Linked DNA regions of Cricetulus griseus. The protein of the gene in region 3 purifies or fractionates together with the protein of the main gene of each other region. This does not show direct contact. Links are inferred from orthologs where the notes say so. Each region holds a gene or a part of one and is shown on either strand. Other genes may lie near its edges.

Evidence for each region.
Region 1: the proteins of Cd9 (region 3) and Itga6 purify together in Homo sapiens (co-immunoprecipitation; 3 studies listed by BioGRID and IntAct, with this or other methods). This does not show direct contact. The link is inferred for Cricetulus griseus from reciprocal best matches to the Homo sapiens genes CD9 and ITGA6.
Region 2: the proteins of Cd9 (region 3) and Igsf8 purify together in Homo sapiens (affinity purification with mass spectrometry; 5 studies listed by BioGRID and IntAct, counting the BioPlex papers as one, with this or other methods). This does not show direct contact. The link is inferred for Cricetulus griseus from reciprocal best matches to the Homo sapiens genes CD9 and IGSF8.
Region 4: the proteins of Cd9 (region 3) and Ptgfrn purify together in Homo sapiens (co-immunoprecipitation; 8 studies listed by BioGRID and IntAct, with this or other methods). This does not show direct contact. The link is inferred for Cricetulus griseus from reciprocal best matches to the Homo sapiens genes CD9 and PTGFRN.

Annotation. Positions count from the first base shown.
Region 1 is NC_048599.1:103,330,246-103,334,241, forward strand, and holds part of Itga6 (integrin alpha-6), read right to left. Parts: intron 3,627-3,996; coding exon 3,466-3,626; intron 3,308-3,465; coding exon 3,164-3,307; intron 2,270-3,163; coding exon 2,154-2,269; intron 2,055-2,153; coding exon 1,865-2,054; intron 1,776-1,864; coding exon 1,692-1,775; intron 1,590-1,691; coding exon 1,510-1,589; intron 1,358-1,509; coding exon 1,280-1,357; intron 1,193-1,279; coding exon 1,090-1,192; intron 11-1,089; coding exon 1-10. UniProt on the Homo sapiens protein: Integrin alpha-6/beta-1 (ITGA6:ITGB1) is a receptor for laminin on platelets. Integrin alpha-6/beta-1 (ITGA6:ITGB1) is present in oocytes and is involved in sperm-egg fusion.
Region 2 is NC_048598.1:20,542,745-20,545,654, reverse strand, and holds the end of Igsf8 (immunoglobulin superfamily member 8), read left to right. Parts: coding exon 1-207; intron 208-510; coding exon 511-918; intron 919-1,015; coding exon 1,016-1,429; intron 1,430-1,686; coding exon 1,687-1,802; 3' UTR 1,803-1,817; exon of another isoform or gene 1,818-1,974; 3' UTR 1,975-2,246; downstream 2,247-2,910. UniProt on the Homo sapiens protein: Member of the immunoglobulin superfamily (IgSF) that links tetraspanin-enriched microdomains to the actin cytoskeleton and plays several important roles in innate and adaptive immunity.
Region 3 is NC_048601.1:20,948,769-20,953,281, forward strand, and holds the start of Cd9 (CD9 antigen), read left to right. Parts: upstream 1-1,271; 5' UTR 1,272-1,422; coding exon 1,423-1,488; exon of another isoform or gene 1,489-2,364; intron 2,365-2,377; exon of another isoform or gene 2,378-2,836; intron 2,837-4,513. UniProt on the Homo sapiens protein: Integral membrane protein associated with integrins, which regulates different processes, such as sperm-egg fusion, platelet activation and aggregation, and cell adhesion.
Region 4 is NW_023276806.1:55,916,194-55,920,189, forward strand, and holds part of Ptgfrn (prostaglandin F2 receptor negative regulator), read left to right. Parts: intron 1-1,506; coding exon 1,507-1,935; intron 1,936-3,996. UniProt on the Homo sapiens protein: Inhibits the binding of prostaglandin F2-alpha (PGF2-alpha) to its specific FP receptor, by decreasing the receptor number rather than the affinity constant. Functional coupling with the prostaglandin F2-alpha receptor seems to occur.

The DNA.
Region 1 (3,996 bases), on a different chromosome or scaffold from region 3:
AGTTAATCACCTGTCACAAAACAACATTATTTTGCTACAATATAATCCTTTTAAGATAAAATTACAAGATTCTTATCATAAAAAAAAAATAGAAGGAAAAAGGAAAGGTCAAAAAGAAAGGATTGCTAGTTCAATCCAGGGGTAACTATCATATGTAACAAAACCCACAGTGCAGTTCTGACATGTTCCCAAAAGCACAAGGAAAAGTCCTGGGTGCACTGGCGAATTGCTCAGCGAGCATCCTACCTGGCAGATGACAAAGCCTCTGCTTTGGTACCCAAATCCTGCTCTGGAAAATGTCCCTACCATGAAAATGAAGCAATCTCTTCATCTATTTGTACACAGGGAGACAGCTCAGGGCAAGTGCTGGGAGTGGAGTAGCTTTGTCCAACGGGGCCCTGAGCATCATGGCACACAATTCTAGAACCTCATCTGCCTGACTGCACAGAGCCCACACCAGCCGGCATTTCTTGAGAGAATTAGCCTCTTCAGTGTGCTGGATTTGGGTCAAGTCTGTTCTTGCCATTTCAGGCTTTAACCTCATTGCTCACCAGCATTTTAGGAACTCAATTTGCACCATGGAGACCCGAATCCATATGCATCATAGGCAGACATCACAGTCCATGTTCAAGTTTGTTAGACTGGACCCAGAGTCACAGTGGTTGCCCACTGTGAGAGCTCATCATCTGCTTTCTTTGCTGGCACCATCACACAATTGGGCTTGTGAAAGGGAGTAAATGTGAATATTCCTTCAGCCAAGAGCACCAGAAAAAATGACTTTCTTATAGAGGAAGAAACCAACTATACATTCTAAGGTCAACTACAAATTACCCGGAACTATTTCTTTGTTTTATAGACTCTGAGCAAAAAAATTAAGTATTACTTTGTACCTACACCACACATATATTACAATTCCCTGGTAAGGGTTAGCAGAGTTGGATTCGGAACCACAAGTCTCTGCTGAGTCATAGTTCTTCTCTACGTGGGAGGATAAAGTGTTCACTGTTAAAACCCAGCAAACATGTTCAACTGACTGATCATTAAAACGACATATCAAGACTGTATCTAGGACCGATTGCTCCGACTTACCCTGAATTCATACTCTATTAAACTTCCTACTTCGTCTTCAGATTTCATAGCTTGTTCACCAACAACTGTACCTCCAAAATACACCTGCGAAGGTTTAGCGACTCTGTCAAATTAAAAAAACACCCGTTTTAGTGAGAATTATAAATGGTCCTTTCAAACATTGATTTGTTATGCCAAACACAACACTTACCCGGAGACCGATAAAAGCAGTTCAATAACCACTTTTGCTTTCGCTGTAATTGGAGCCAAATTATCTTGATTGCTTGTTCTGAAAATGAAAGGGGAAACAATGGGTTTTATTTGAACAGTCAGTTTTCTCATTACAATTACATTTCTTTTATGAGTTAGATCAGTGCTAATTCAGTGACTCTGGGGTTCTCATGAAATAAGTATGAATGGGAAGGTTGAAGTAACTCTTACGTTTCCAACTTCAGATTAATATCCAGATCTGTGGTGTCAAATGTGACCTCAGTTGTACTTAAAATCAGATAAAAAGTAACCTAAAGAAAATACATATAAACAACTGTTACCAAGGGCCAGGCCCCTGGGCACAGTACAGGTAATCAGAACAGTACGACAGAGCGCGTGGAGGCATCACCTACACTGGAATTTCTCTTAAAAGGATTCCCGAGCTCACAGTCAGCTTGAGAGCCATTCTGGTTGGCGACACAGCTCAGCTGCTTCTCCTGGGGCAGAAAGGCATGGGGTCATGGTTTATTCACGGACTGTGTGGTCTTGTTCTTTCCCTCCCCGCTGGTTTCTCAAAAACACTTACAGGGAAAGCCCTCAGCTCTCTGTATGCAGAGTATGTGAGAGTGTCAGGGAAAGTTGCAACGAGTTTGGCTTCGTGAGCGTCGTCACCATCTTTTCTGGGATTCCTTGGATCAGATGGGCCGTTGGTCACTGTTATTTCCAGAGCTATATCCTTCTGATCTTTTAGGACTAATTCTGGGATGCCTTTCTGACTATTAAAAAAGAAAGAAAAACACAAAGAGAATCTGAACACGTGCAATTCTCTTTCTAACCAAAGCCTAGAGGTCAGAGTAACTTCTCATGATTCTTACATTGGAAGGTAAGAGAATTTGTCTTGACTGCCTTCTCGGGTACAGAATTTATACTCTAGTTTAAGGTTGCTGTTACAGACATTGTCATCTCCACACCCCTCCTTTAAGAAGTGTACCTGTAGGGAACCAAATGCAGAGAGGTCAGGTCCTAAAAGTCTTCACAGCTCATTTTCCTGTGGTACTTTACCCTCCTTTGCCAAACACCTGGTTCTGCTGTGTCCTCTATAAAGACACGTTGACCAGGCGATACAATTCCCAGCACCAAAACAGTAATCAAGATGACAATAATAGCTGGGTGGTGGTGGTGGTGAGTGTTTTTATCCAGCACTCAGGAGGCAGAGGCAGGCGGATTGCTGAGTTCGAGGCCAGCCTGGTCTATAGAGCGAATTCCAAGACAGCCAGGGCAACACAGAGAAACCCTGTCTTGGAAAACAAAACAAAATAATCATGATGATGACTCAAGGTCAAGCTGTCAAACTTCTCTAGGCTCATCTTGAATCTCCACTCTGTCCTAGCACACTGACTTCGTCTTACATGACATGTCCAGCAGCGATAGAATACTTATTTTCTTCCTACAGTGACCTAAGCTGCATTAGGTAAAGTATTTCATCATGTCTAATTTTCTTTTGCTTTGCTAAGTTTTGCTATTCATTGAGTTTAATGTTTTAATAATATATATTATCATCACACTGTGCTATACTCAGTGGTACAATGAAGACAAATATTGCTAGGCCCCAAAATTCCATCTAACAGGCCAATTATGTATACAGAAATAAGTAGTTATTATTATTTTTTCTTAGATAGGGTCTCATCATGAACCCTGGCTGGCCTAGAACTTGTTGTATAGACCAGACTAGCCTTGATCTCACAGGCATCCTCCTGCCTCTGCCTCCCAAGTGCTGGGATTAAAGGCACACACAATACCACCAAACCTGGCCATAAGTAAGTGGCCTGTAAAGCAAATCCCTATTTCTATAACACTGGCAAAAACAGAAACCAGGATGGCTTACATCTGTCTGGACGGACTTGGCTTCATTCGAATTCAAGATGGGAAGAACTTCGGGAAGTGAATTGACCCGCCTGCGAGAGCTGGTCTCCTGGATCTCCACAGAGGCGGTGATGGGGATGGGACGCAGCTTGTCTCTGATGTTTTCCTGCAAAGTGAGGAGAGTCATGGGTGAGTGTGGTCAACGGTGGACAGACCTCCAAAGCAATGGCAGCGCATTGATGAGCAGCTTGTTGTTCAGAAACCTAAGCATCAGGAAAGCACTGTTCTCTGCAACACGGAGATGACTGCCACATGCTTGCTCACCTGCAGCCAGAGGGTCTCCTCCATGCATGCCCGCTGCTTCTGCCGGTTCAGAGTTAGCTCCTGAGTATACTTTGGCTCAGAACCTTGGTGTCGAAACTGAACTCTCGACGACAACCCAGACTTTCTTCTTTCTTTTTCAGCTTCAAGTATGCCCAAAATCGCTAGGTTGAAGTGAACAAACTGTGTTAACTTAGAAGTGTCGATGCACCCCCCCAACTACAAATAGGATGAGTTCTTCTACAGTATTTAAAACTCCACACACTAGCACTTTGCCCCCAACCTTTGCTTTTCTTTATTATTTCCTGGTAGGGGACCTTCTATCGAACTGTGAAGTTTTAAATCCAATTGTTCTTCCCCATTGCTGTTACCGGTTTGTTAAGTTAAATTTTCACTGGACCACCTGGGGGAGCTAGAGAACAAGCCAGAACCTTCCGCAGCAGCTAGGAATCAATCAGTTTCTGGCTGAATTTCAGGAACCCACAGACTACTAAAGATAACCAGAAACACTAGATTCTTTCAGCCTGGGCTCTA
Region 2 (2,910 bases), on a different chromosome or scaffold from region 3:
CCTACGCTGAGAGGCTGGCCGCGGGGGAGCTGCGGCTGAGCAAGGAAGGGACTGACCGGTACCGCATGGTGGTTGGGGGTGCCCAGGCTGCAGACTCGGGCACCTACCACTGCACTGCTGCTGAATGGATTCAGGATCCTGACGGTTCCTGGGTCCAGATCGCAGAGAAGAGGGCAGTCCTGGCCCATGTGGATGTGCAGACATTGTGTGAGTGTCACATGTCCCCCTGAGGGGGTATCTCAGTGGGCATCAGGGGTGGTGCTACATGACCATCATCCTGCTACATCATCTTCCCTGGAGTGAGCCAGCCGTCCAGGCATTACTCACTCTCTATCCATGGTTTCTCTGCTCAGATATTGAATGTGGAGATACAAGGGCTATGGTGGAAGGGTGAAATTCAGGTCCTGGGGTGAGGGACAGATAACAGGCCTCTACGTTTTTTTGCAAAGAGGTATTGAGGACGGGCCCCAGGCATCTCTGTGACTCCTTCCTTCCCCTGCTGTGTTTCAGCCAGCCAGCTAGCAGTGACAGTGGGACCTGGTGAGCATCGGATTGGCCCAGGGGAACCCTTGGAACTGCTATGCAATGTGTCAGGGGCACTGCCCCCAGCAGGCCGGCATGCTGCGTACTCGGTGGGCTGGGAGATGGCTCCTGCAGGGGCTCCTGGGCCTGGCCGCCTGGTGGCCCAGCTGGACACAGAAGGTGTAGGCAGCCTGGGCCCTGGCTACGAGGGCCGCCACATTGCCATGGAGAAAGTGGCATCCAGAACCTACCGGCTACGATTGGAGGCTGCCAGGCCTGGTGATGCAGGCACCTATCGCTGCCTCGCCAAAGCCTATGTTCGAGGGTCTGGGACCCGGCTTCGTGAAGCTGCCAGCGCTCGTTCCCGGCCCCTCCCTGTGCATGTGAGGGAAGAAGGTGAGAGCTGAACCCTTGGCAGGGTTCAGAGGTTACAGAATTTATTTCCTAGCCCCTGAGCCTTCACCCTGTAACCCCCATGTCCCTTGCTCTGCAGGTGTGGTGCTGGAGGCCGTGGCATGGCTCGCAGGGGGTACTGTGTACCGGGGAGAGACTGCCTCCCTGCTATGCAACATCTCTGTGCGTGGTGGTCCCCCGGGGCTTCGACTAGCCGCCAGCTGGTGGGTGGAGAGACCAGAGGAGGGCGAGTTAAGTTCTGGCCCTGCTCAGCTTGTGGGTGGAGTGGGTCAGGATGGTGTGGCAGAGCTGGGAGTCCGGCCTGGAGGGGGTCCTGTCAGTGTGGAGCTGGTGGGACCCAAGAGCCATCGTCTAAGACTACACAGTTTGGGGCCTGAGGATGAAGGCATATACCACTGCGCCCCAAGCGCCTGGGTGCAGCATGCGGACTATAGCTGGTACCAGGCGGGCAGTGCGCGCTCCGGACCTGTCACAGTCTACCCTTACACACATGGTGAGTGGAAACTACCCTCCACTCATCTGCTCCAACCGTGTTTGCCCCCTTCTGCTTTCCTGTCTTCCCTGCTATCCTTTTCCTGTATCCCTTTGCATGAAGAGCCCCAAACTGACCTCCGTGCTGATTGGTGCGGTTGTAGGTGGGCAAGGATGGCCCACTGAGTCAGGAAAACCTGCTGGGGAGAGTGCCAGAGAACTGTACGACAGCCGGTGGAGGACCATGGCACTCTCTGAGCAGAGCCATCTTTCTTCCAGCCCTGGATACCCTATTCGTGCCCCTGTTGGTGGGTACAGGAGTTGCTCTAGTCACTGGCGCCAGCGTCCTTGCTACGATCACCTGCTGCTTTATGAAGAGGCTGCGGAAGCGGTGATCTGTAGCACCCCAGGTGAGGGAAAGGGTACCCCAAGTCCCATCTTCCTCGGGCTTCCTGTGTGCTCCATCTGGACAAGAAGCTGCCAGCTCAGTCAGTCCTGCAGGGTCATGTAGCAGGGTGAGGGCCAAAGGGAGCCTGGTCCTCAGCCTTCTCCACATACTCTCTCTAGTTTCTGCAGGTGTCAACTGTCTTCCAGCCAGCGCCGCTCCTCCTCCGGTTGCCTAGATACCCTCCCCTCCTCCGCCCAGCCCTCCTTTAATTTATTTGTCCTGTCCCTGCCTAGAGTGGAAGCTGCGGCTCCCCAGTTCCTCACACCTTTCCTCGGGTTCTCTGTCCTTGGTCTCACACTCATGCTGTAGGAAGGCCAGTTCCTGTCCTCAAACTAGTTTTTGTTTTGTTTTGTTTTTTTAAAATGTGAATAAACTGGTTTTATAAAATCCAGGCCTGGTTGTGTTTTCCCTTGCCACGAAGCTATAAAAGGCAGCAGCGGGGGTGCGTGGGGAGGGGGTGGTTGTTAGTAGGGAGATTGTTGGGGCTTGACAACCTATTCTGGACAACCCAGGCCTCTTTTCCCACCATAAACACCATCTGTCCTTGGTGGGCCTTGCTACCCACCCACTGCAGGAGGGGATGCCTGGGTCCCATCTGTTGCCTAAAATGTCAGTGAGGAGCCAACTCCTAATGGGGCTTCCACATAGGAAGAGAGGGTGAGTTCCAGCTGAGCTTGGCCCTTTTCACAGCATCCAGAGAGTCTTTCTAGGCTCCCCAGACTGGGGCACACCCTCCTCAGTCTCATTCTCCTGGTTGGGCTAGTCTCGGGCCAGACTCCTCCCACCAGGCCCTGGGGCCTCAGTCTTTGTCATCCTGACCTTAATTATTCTCTGACTACAGCAGAATGGGAGCCTCGGAACACAGCTGCCTACTTAGGGACAACAGCAGTCGGGAGGTCCTGTGTCCTCTGTGTACACAGAGCCGCTGCATCTCCCTGCCTGAGGGTTCTCGGGTCCGGAGAGTCTCGGCTGTTCTGTGCTTCAGGCGGCATCCAGTCTTCCCTTTTCATTTAGTAATTTAACATTTATTGAGCACTATGAGTTTGCCAAGTATC
Region 3 (4,513 bases):
TTTCCAAAGTGGACTGTGAAAAAAAAAATCTTTTTAAGTGGATCGATTAATGAAACCAGTCCACTGACAAATACAGAAGCGAGAGCTGTGCTAAGCTAACAGAGGCTGGTTTTGCTTCGTGACAATTTGTCTTGTTTGGTTTTTGTTTTTGGAGACAGGGTCTCATGTAGCCCAGATCGCCTCCAAAGCACTGTGTAACCCGGGTGAAATTTTAACTCGCATTCTTTTTGCTTCTTGGCATTTTCTGATGTTTCTGTGATGAGTATGGTTTACTTTTTCAATAAAGACCTACAAGGAAACTTTCTGGCGGGGTGAGGGAAAGAATGTTGCAAAGGATGTTGAAAAGGACCTCCCCACCCAAATTAGAAGAATCAAGGAAGAATTTAGAGAACCTCAGAGCAGGATATGGTGGTCCATGGCTGTCACACCAGCACCAGCAATGCAGAGGCAGGAAGATAGAGGTTTGAGGATAGCCTGAGCTACATACGCAAATCCAGGTCGCAGGGCTACAGAAACAAATTACGAAGCATGATGAGTTCAAGGCCAGCCTGGTTTACAAAGCCAGACCCAAGCCAGACAGAGCTGCATAGTAAGATTCTGTCTCAAAATACTAAGTGTAAACTTAAATAAAGAATAAACACAATAAGATCTCACAGGCAAAGGAGGCAGGGGCAGCCAGCCACACACCACCTGCAGGCTTCGAGGTGGGGCAGAGTAAGGGTGTGGCACCAAGTGGGGTAGAGAATGTGAGGAGTAAACACTGGATGACGAATTTCAACTCGACTCTGTGAATGAATTAATTTTTTTGAGTAAATGAGAAACGCTCAGATTGGCACCCGGAGCGTTCCAGCGGCCACAGTGCTCAAATAAGTATGTTCAGTCCGGAAAGGTTTACAAGGAGGGGTTGGAGAGAAAGCAGGCCAGGCAAACAGGGGCCGGCAGACTTGATGCGGGAATCTAAAAAGGTTCTTTAGATTAGATGACACCCGGGGGTCTTCCACCGTAAACTCTTAGGCGCAGCGCCCGAAACGAACAGGAAAGGCTCCCGGGTAAAAGTAGCCGGGTCTGGAGGTCTGGAGAGACCCCAAGACGGTGGGAAGGAGAAAGAAGAAAGGAAAGAGGGTCTCAGGAACGAGTCCCGGAAGGGCAAGGTGCAGGGCGGGCTCCGCACCCCGGTGGAGTCAGAGTCTTAGAACCTGGGGCTGGGGAGGGGACGAGGCATGGGCGGGGCAGGTGGGCCGGGGGCGGGGTCGGCATCCTCCGCACATGCGCATCGCAGCTGGCGGATGGCCGTAAGGAGTGGCACTTTTTAAAAGTGGAGACGTAGGCCAGCCCCCAGCCTCAGCGTTTCTCAGTCCGCTGCCGCGAACCTTCTGTCCCAGTCGTGCGCGCCTCTTGTCCCACGCAAGTCCCGCTTACACCATGCCGGTCAAAGGGGGTAGCAAGTGCATCAAATACCTGCTCTTCGGATTTAACTTCATCTTCTGGGTGAGTGAGAGGCGACTGTCACGCGCTCCTCTCTGAGGCCACCTGTTCTCGAGCTCCGGACGGCGGCGTCCGGAGCCGTGGGTGTCCCGGCGCCCGGCAGCTCGGGGAGCTGGTACTGCGAGCGCCAGGCGGACTCGGGGCGAGAAGAGAAAGGCGCGGCGGCTGCCAACTGGCCACGGTCTGGACGGGCAGGTGGGCGGGAGAAGCGCGGTCCTAGTGGCCCGGGCTGTGCACTCCGCTCCCGGGCCCCTCGCCGCCGAGGATCTGAGATGGGGTCTGTGTCCGCTGCCACCCGGAGCACCCCGATTGCTACAGGGGAAGTGTCGGGGAGGAGGAGCGGAGCACCCCGTTTCGAGTAACTCGAGGCCCTCCCTGGCCCGTGAGGCTCCTGGCGAGCAGGGCAGTGAGTGTCTCCCACCTCGGTGGTCCCACAGTGGCAAAGGGGTTCCCACGAGGGGCTCCTGGCACCCTCACTCTGGAGAGAAAGCGGGTCGGGGAGTCCTGCACCTGGAGGACGGGCTTTCCTTGTTCACAGTCTCGACTCTCGGTCCCCGTGAGAACGTCCGTGCCTCTCTCCAAACTACCTGAAAGACTAGGTTGTCTTGATTCTTTTTCAAAAGCGATAACTATCTTGGCTGGAGAGAACTCTGGCAGAGTTAGGGAGAGGAGGGAGGGGAAGGTGCCCGTCGGCGCCTCTAGGTGGTATGAGTCCGGAGTTTCTGCATTTCCAGGGTAATGAGGTACTCTGGGCTTGAGGCCTCCCCACCCTCCTAGAAACGGCCAGGCGGGGCCGCAGGAATGGCCGTTCACCTGGAGAGGCTGCGGAGCAGAGCGGAGCGGGGCGGGGTGGGGTGGGGTGGGGAAAGAGGAACTAGTAGACACTCCCTACCTCTCCGCGTTTGGAAGTCTGGGAAAAGCAACCGTGTCCGCTCCCTACGGAGATACAAGGACGACCCTTGTGTCCTGCTTCTGAGAGGTCACACCCCCTACACACAAATGGGCAGCATTTGATCCCAGGCAGGCAGGAAAGGGTTTGGCCAGGCAGCCCCTCAAGAGAGATGACGGTAGAGACGCGTTATGTACCACCAGAGACTTTTAACCAAAACAAAAGTGCACTATTCCCTTGGAGCCTGCCACCAGGTGCTTATCATCCTCCAGCCAGTGTAAGTTTTAATACTGTCCAGGGCTGCTCGGGAGTGTTCTGCAGCCTACAGACACTGCTCTTGAGTTTCTAGGAGTCGCCACACCCATACATCTTAAGAGGATGTCAGAGGGGCATTCCCTCCTGGTGTTTCCCCAGCTCAGCAGACCGGCAGGCCAGCTCTCAGGCTTGGCTTGCCCAGCTCATCTGCTCCAGCATCACAAAACAGTCTTGACTGCTGGCCCCACCCAACCCCGCCCTGTCCTTTGGGGAGTTTTCATTGCCCTACCCTAGCCGGCTGTCTCCCCTGCCTGTCTGTTGTTTAGTCCCCAACTGTCTGCCTAGATGAGGTGAAAGTTTAGGGTTAGGAGGAACACAAAGTGCCGTAGCAAGTCTGCGTCCCCCATCTGCCCCCATGGCATCTGGAAGGGGCTGAAGGGAGGTGCCCATGACCACCCTGTGTCTACTCAGTCTGTTGCCTGCTGGTCTGCAATCTGTCTAACTTGTCTCCTGCCTGCTACTCTGTTCTATCCAGAGCTCCCTGCCCGGGCTAGACAGAGCCGGTTGACTAATACCTCATGAAACAGAACAATCTCATTCTGGAAGGACTTGGTTCTAGGGTTGCGAACCGCTTGTGCACCAACTGTAGATGCTAAGCTCTTCTGTTCACATTGGGCAGATGAGAGTGCCAGGGCAGTGACTTACCCAAGACTGCAAGCTGAGATAGTACTGTATCCCCTTCGCCCCTCCCGTTTTCTTCCTGCCCTCTTCTATCTCTCTTACCATTTGGGGGTAAGTTAATTATTGTTACCTGTCCTACCCTTGGGTCCCATAGGGACAAAGCCCCATCCTGTTACAGTCTCCGTGTAAAGTATTTTACAGTCTGTAGGGCCTCCCCTAGGCCCATGATGTAGCCTGAGAAGGAAGCGTTATCCCCATTTTACCTACTGATGACAAGAAATCTGCTCCATGAAAGGTTAAGTGACATATCCAGGGTCAAGTGACAGGACATTATCAAGTGAGGTACCCAACTGGGTTTGGCTATTGGGTGGGAGTAGAAGAAGGGTGAGATGAAACTCCTCAAAATCTTTTATGGCAGGCTGTGATCTCAGGGGACCGCTGGGATTATTATGATGTTGCCACTTCTCTCTCTTGAGACCAGTGATTTATGAACTTGACATTTGGAACCTGATACTGGCTTTGAAAAGTAGGGGCCACCTTTGTGTGCAGAAGATAGATCCTAAAGGGATGGGTGGCAGGAATCCAAAGAGAAGCCAGTCTTAGCTGCAGTGGGACAGTGCAGAAAAGGACCGGAAGAGGGGAGCCTTGCCTTTCTCCTAGGCCTGAGCATGTCCCCTGTGGGTTGCTCCATGACAGCTGAGCCTTCCCAGCCTGCCCTCCTGATGCTGGGTGTCTCATACCCACAACCACGCCAGCAAGCAGTCTGTTTTTCCAATATCTTCAGAGCCAAACCTCCCCAGCCTATTTCAGTGGTTCCTGAATTTTCCTCAGACCTCATGTCTATCCCTTCACTCCCTCCAAAAAGAAGAAAGAAAAGAAATAATAAAAGAGGGGGAGGAAAACATCTTTCTCATGTCTAAATGACAGGAGATGGGGGTATTTCAAGCTGTGATGTGGTGACCAGCCTTGGGCCAGACCAGGAATGTAATGTGCTTTTTTCCATTAATTTTTTGTTTGGGGTCTTGCTATGCAACCAGACTGGCCTTGATCCTCTTGGCCGGGGCGGTTCTTTCCATCCTACCCATCCTCCCAGACCCTGAGCCTGTTTAGTGAGGACCTCCCATCCTCCCTGGCCTAGGCTAGGAAGGGACAGATGGGCTCTACTGAGTCAGACCCTGCTTCTGTTCCCTGTGCCCCCCTAGA
Region 4 (3,996 bases), on a different chromosome or scaffold from region 3:
CTGTTAATCATTCTTGGAGAAGTCAGGATGTTATAAATTTCATTAGAAGTGTAAATCACAAAAGAACAGTTCCTTGACCTCAGCAGTTTATAATCCATGTGAGTCATAAATAAAAGCAGCAAGAAATAAAACAAAATTGCTAAAGGTGATGGAGATAAAGAGAGCCCTGGAAAGTGGAAGGCTCTGTTTAAGTCGAATGATTTTTCTTATAGAAGGCAAAGCGCTTGGAGCAAAGAAAATGTAGACTTTTCTAATAACCTTACCATTAATCCAGGGGATATATCTTGAATTCCTACTGTGTTCCAGGATCTTGGGGATGAGACTCCCAAGCAAAGAGTAGTTGCAGAGTGAATAACTGGTGTAGGAAAGATGTATGGGAGCTCAGAGAAGGAGAGCCATCATCCCTAGGGACACTGAGGGTCGCAGACCATCCCAAACACTGTTGTACCACAAGGGCATCCACCTATATGGTAGTTAAAAGCCTGTGGAGGGGGAGTGGAAAGGAAGGAAGGCTACCAAGGGGTTCTAATACATGTTCCTTAAGGAGGCAAGTGAGGAGGAGCCTGCAGCCAGTAATGATACAAGCGTGGAAACACTGTGGGGAAGCGGGTGGTGATATTGAGCAGACTTACCAGGGCCAGGTTCACTATGTGATGGCTTCATGGTTGGCAGAGTTACAGGGTGAGTTATTTGTGGCAAGAAAAGGAAGTCCTTTGGGGAGTCTAAGCTAGGGGGTGTTGGCTGACTGAATACAGATTCAGTGGAAAATAGCAAATGATGATAAGAATATGAATGAGGACCTGGGGACCTTGCATTTGGGGCACAGCCAGGAATGGCAGGAACCTGAGCCCTAGTGGGCCTCAGACTGTGGATTGTCCTCTGTGTTAGAACTTTGCATTACTGTTCCAGTGGGAGCTTCGGAGGTCTGTGGGCTTGCTTGGCCTCCCAGAGACAGTCTTGATAGGATGTGGACACTTAAGTTTCTGAGATCACCCTCAAAGATTCCAACTGCCTGTAGCACCTGCTAGCATCCCTCATCCTATGAATAAGTGAGGATTCTGACCCTGGGCATTTAGCTTCCTGCCTTGGGCCTTTTCTATTTTTAAATTGAACCTTATTTTTTAATGTATATGGGTATTTTGCCTGTATGTTTGTCTGTGCACCGCATGTGTACTATGTTCTCTGAGGCCATAAGAGGGGATTGATTCCTGGAATTGGAGTTACAGATGGTTGTGATTGCAGTGTGGGTTTTGGGAATTGAACCCAGGTCCATTGCAAGAGCAGCAAGTGTTCGTAACTTCTCAACCACCTTGGCAGTTTTCTTAAGGCAGATATAGGAAGAAGTGATTTAGAAACACTCTTATAGGGTCTTTGCTGCCCAACACAAAGACTTGATTTCTATCCTAGGAGTTGATAAGATGGACAATTTGTCACAATATGAGCGGTTCTTGGCTTGTTCCCTTTGCCAATTCTTATGTTGCTGTGTTTTTGCTCTCTCATCTTCAGAACCAGAATACCAAGTCTACCTGAATGCGTCTAAGGTCCCTGGGTTTTCAGATGACCCCACAGAACTGCAATGCCGGGTGATAGACATGAAGCGCGTGGAGGCCGGTGTCCGACTTACCGTGTCATGGTACTACAGAATGAACCGTCGCATTGGTGACGAAGTGGTGGCCAGTGAGCTTCTTGCAGTCATGGATGGAGACTGGACTCTAAGATACGGAGAAAGGAGCAAGCAGCGGGCCCAGAGTGGAGAGTTTATATTTTCTAAGGAGCACACAGACACATTCAGTTTCCGGATCCAAAGGACTACAGAGGAAGACAGGGGCAATTATTACTGTGTTGTGTCTGCCTGGACCAGGCAGAGAAACAACAGCTGGGTCAAAAGTAAGGACGTCTTCTCCAAGCCTGTCAACATATTCTGGGCCTCAGAAGGTAGGAACTTCATGTTGGTCGTCGTTCCGTTTTGTTTTAGTTTAAGTCATCTGTCTGTGTCTGTTTCAGTTACCATCACCCTCCACTCACACTGCAAATCTATACTGATACTTGAGGAAACTGTAATCCCCCATGATCCTCCTTGCCCCCCTTTATAGACTCTGTGTCCCCAAGCTACGAGGGAAGGGCCTCTGCAACTCACTGTTATTAGCAAAGCCTTGCATTTTCTGCACCCCATTGTTTCTTTTTCTTCTTTTCAGCTGCCTGCCTCCTCTCTGAGAGCAGTTGTCCCAGAAACCCTCCTAAGTGATAAAGTTTTCCTCTCGCATTCCTTGCAAAGAAGTCAGGTACCCTCCTGTTCCTCAGTGAGATTTCTACCATTTCCCCTCTGAATCTCCTTGCCCAGGGCCATATCTCTTCCTCCTCCCTCTTTCTCATAGCCCCTCTTTCTCATAGCCCCTCCTATCACTAACTTGATTGACTCCTGGGTCTTCTGTTCATTTGCTGGAGATGCCAGCCTTGCTTTCACGGCCACTCTGTTACTACTCCTATCTGGCTAGCTTTATTGAAGTCATCCTGGAAGATTTCAAAAAGCAAAGATCCCAGTAGAAATTATGTTTGGATTGGTCCGAGGTGTGTGTAGTCTGGACGCTGGTATTGAATCCTCTCGAGTAGCTACCATGGAGAACCCTGGTGTAGACAAGGCTTTCATTGTCATTCCCCTGTCCTTGTCTAAGTTCTCTCCAAGTGTCACATCCTCTGTCCTTTTGGGTCCTTCATTCCCAATTCTGAAAATCAGACCAGCTCACTTTTGATAGCTGAAACCCAACTCCTCCATAGCTGAAGTTTAACATGCCTGGTTCTCTGTGCACACAGTCTTTCTAGATTATTCCCTGTAGTGTTTCAGACCTATTCATCCTACCATCTGACATTGTCCTTCTTCCTTACTTGGTCTTCGCTTCTCTCTTACCAGAAGTCCACCATGTACCTGTGGGTCCAAGGCCAAGGGCCAAGGGGTAAGGAGAATTATATGATCACCACAGTGATATCTTAACCTAAGTTCCCAGTCAGTCATGTCCCTCCTTTGCATCCTTAACTCCCTAGCCACCGGCTTGGTCTACCCTATATTCTACTTAAAACACAACCCTATTTAAAGCCAACTTTGCTGTCTCCTTGGCTGCATATGCAGAGCTAGAGGCACTTGAAGGAGAAAACATTCCAACAGTGGTCTGGTTTCACTTTAAATCTCCAATCCCTTCTGTCATATGGGCTCTCAACATTGAGAGCCATTCTGGTTTCCTTCATGTGTTTACTTCCCCACTCTCCTAAGTGATAATTGCATGCCACCTGCTCTCTCTACAAACATCCTCCCCCAGCCTCCATCAGCTTCTGGCCTTGCTTCTCCATCCCCTATAAAAAGATAGTCAAAGGAGAACTTCATCTGCCAGCAGCATTGAGCCTGTTACTCACCCTAATGTCTTAGCAACGGTCAGCCCCTTTCACAGCTCAGGCACATGACCCTCTCTCTTATGTCTTTGATAGTCTCTCTCCTCTGGTCCTTCCCAACCAGCCTGTTAACATTGCTGTTAGGAAAACTAATTTTGATTGTTTTGTTAAACAGGGTTTCTCTGTTTAACACTCCTGGCTGTCCTAGAACTCGCTTTGTAGACCAGGCTGGCCTGAAACTCACTGAGCTCTGCCTGCCTCTGCCTCCCAGGTGCTGGAATTAAAGACGTGTGCCACCACCACCTGGCTATCTTCTTCTTTCATCTTTCTGTTTCTTATAACCCTTGCCCACCGCTCTGTCCTTTGGTAGCAGTGGATTTGATTGAACTATATTTAATTTCTCTATTTCTCCTCCATTTTTCTTTGGGACCTACTTTCCCCTCACTGCACATATTAAGATTGCTAGACATCAACACACTACAGAAACCTGTTATCATTTTTCTTCCTTCCAGAAATGCCTTGGCTTTCCCATGGCTTGTAGGATGCCTTCCCCAGATTTGTTTCTGTATTCACTGGATGCTGCATCTCAGCCTCCTTTGCTGCTTCCTGTCCATC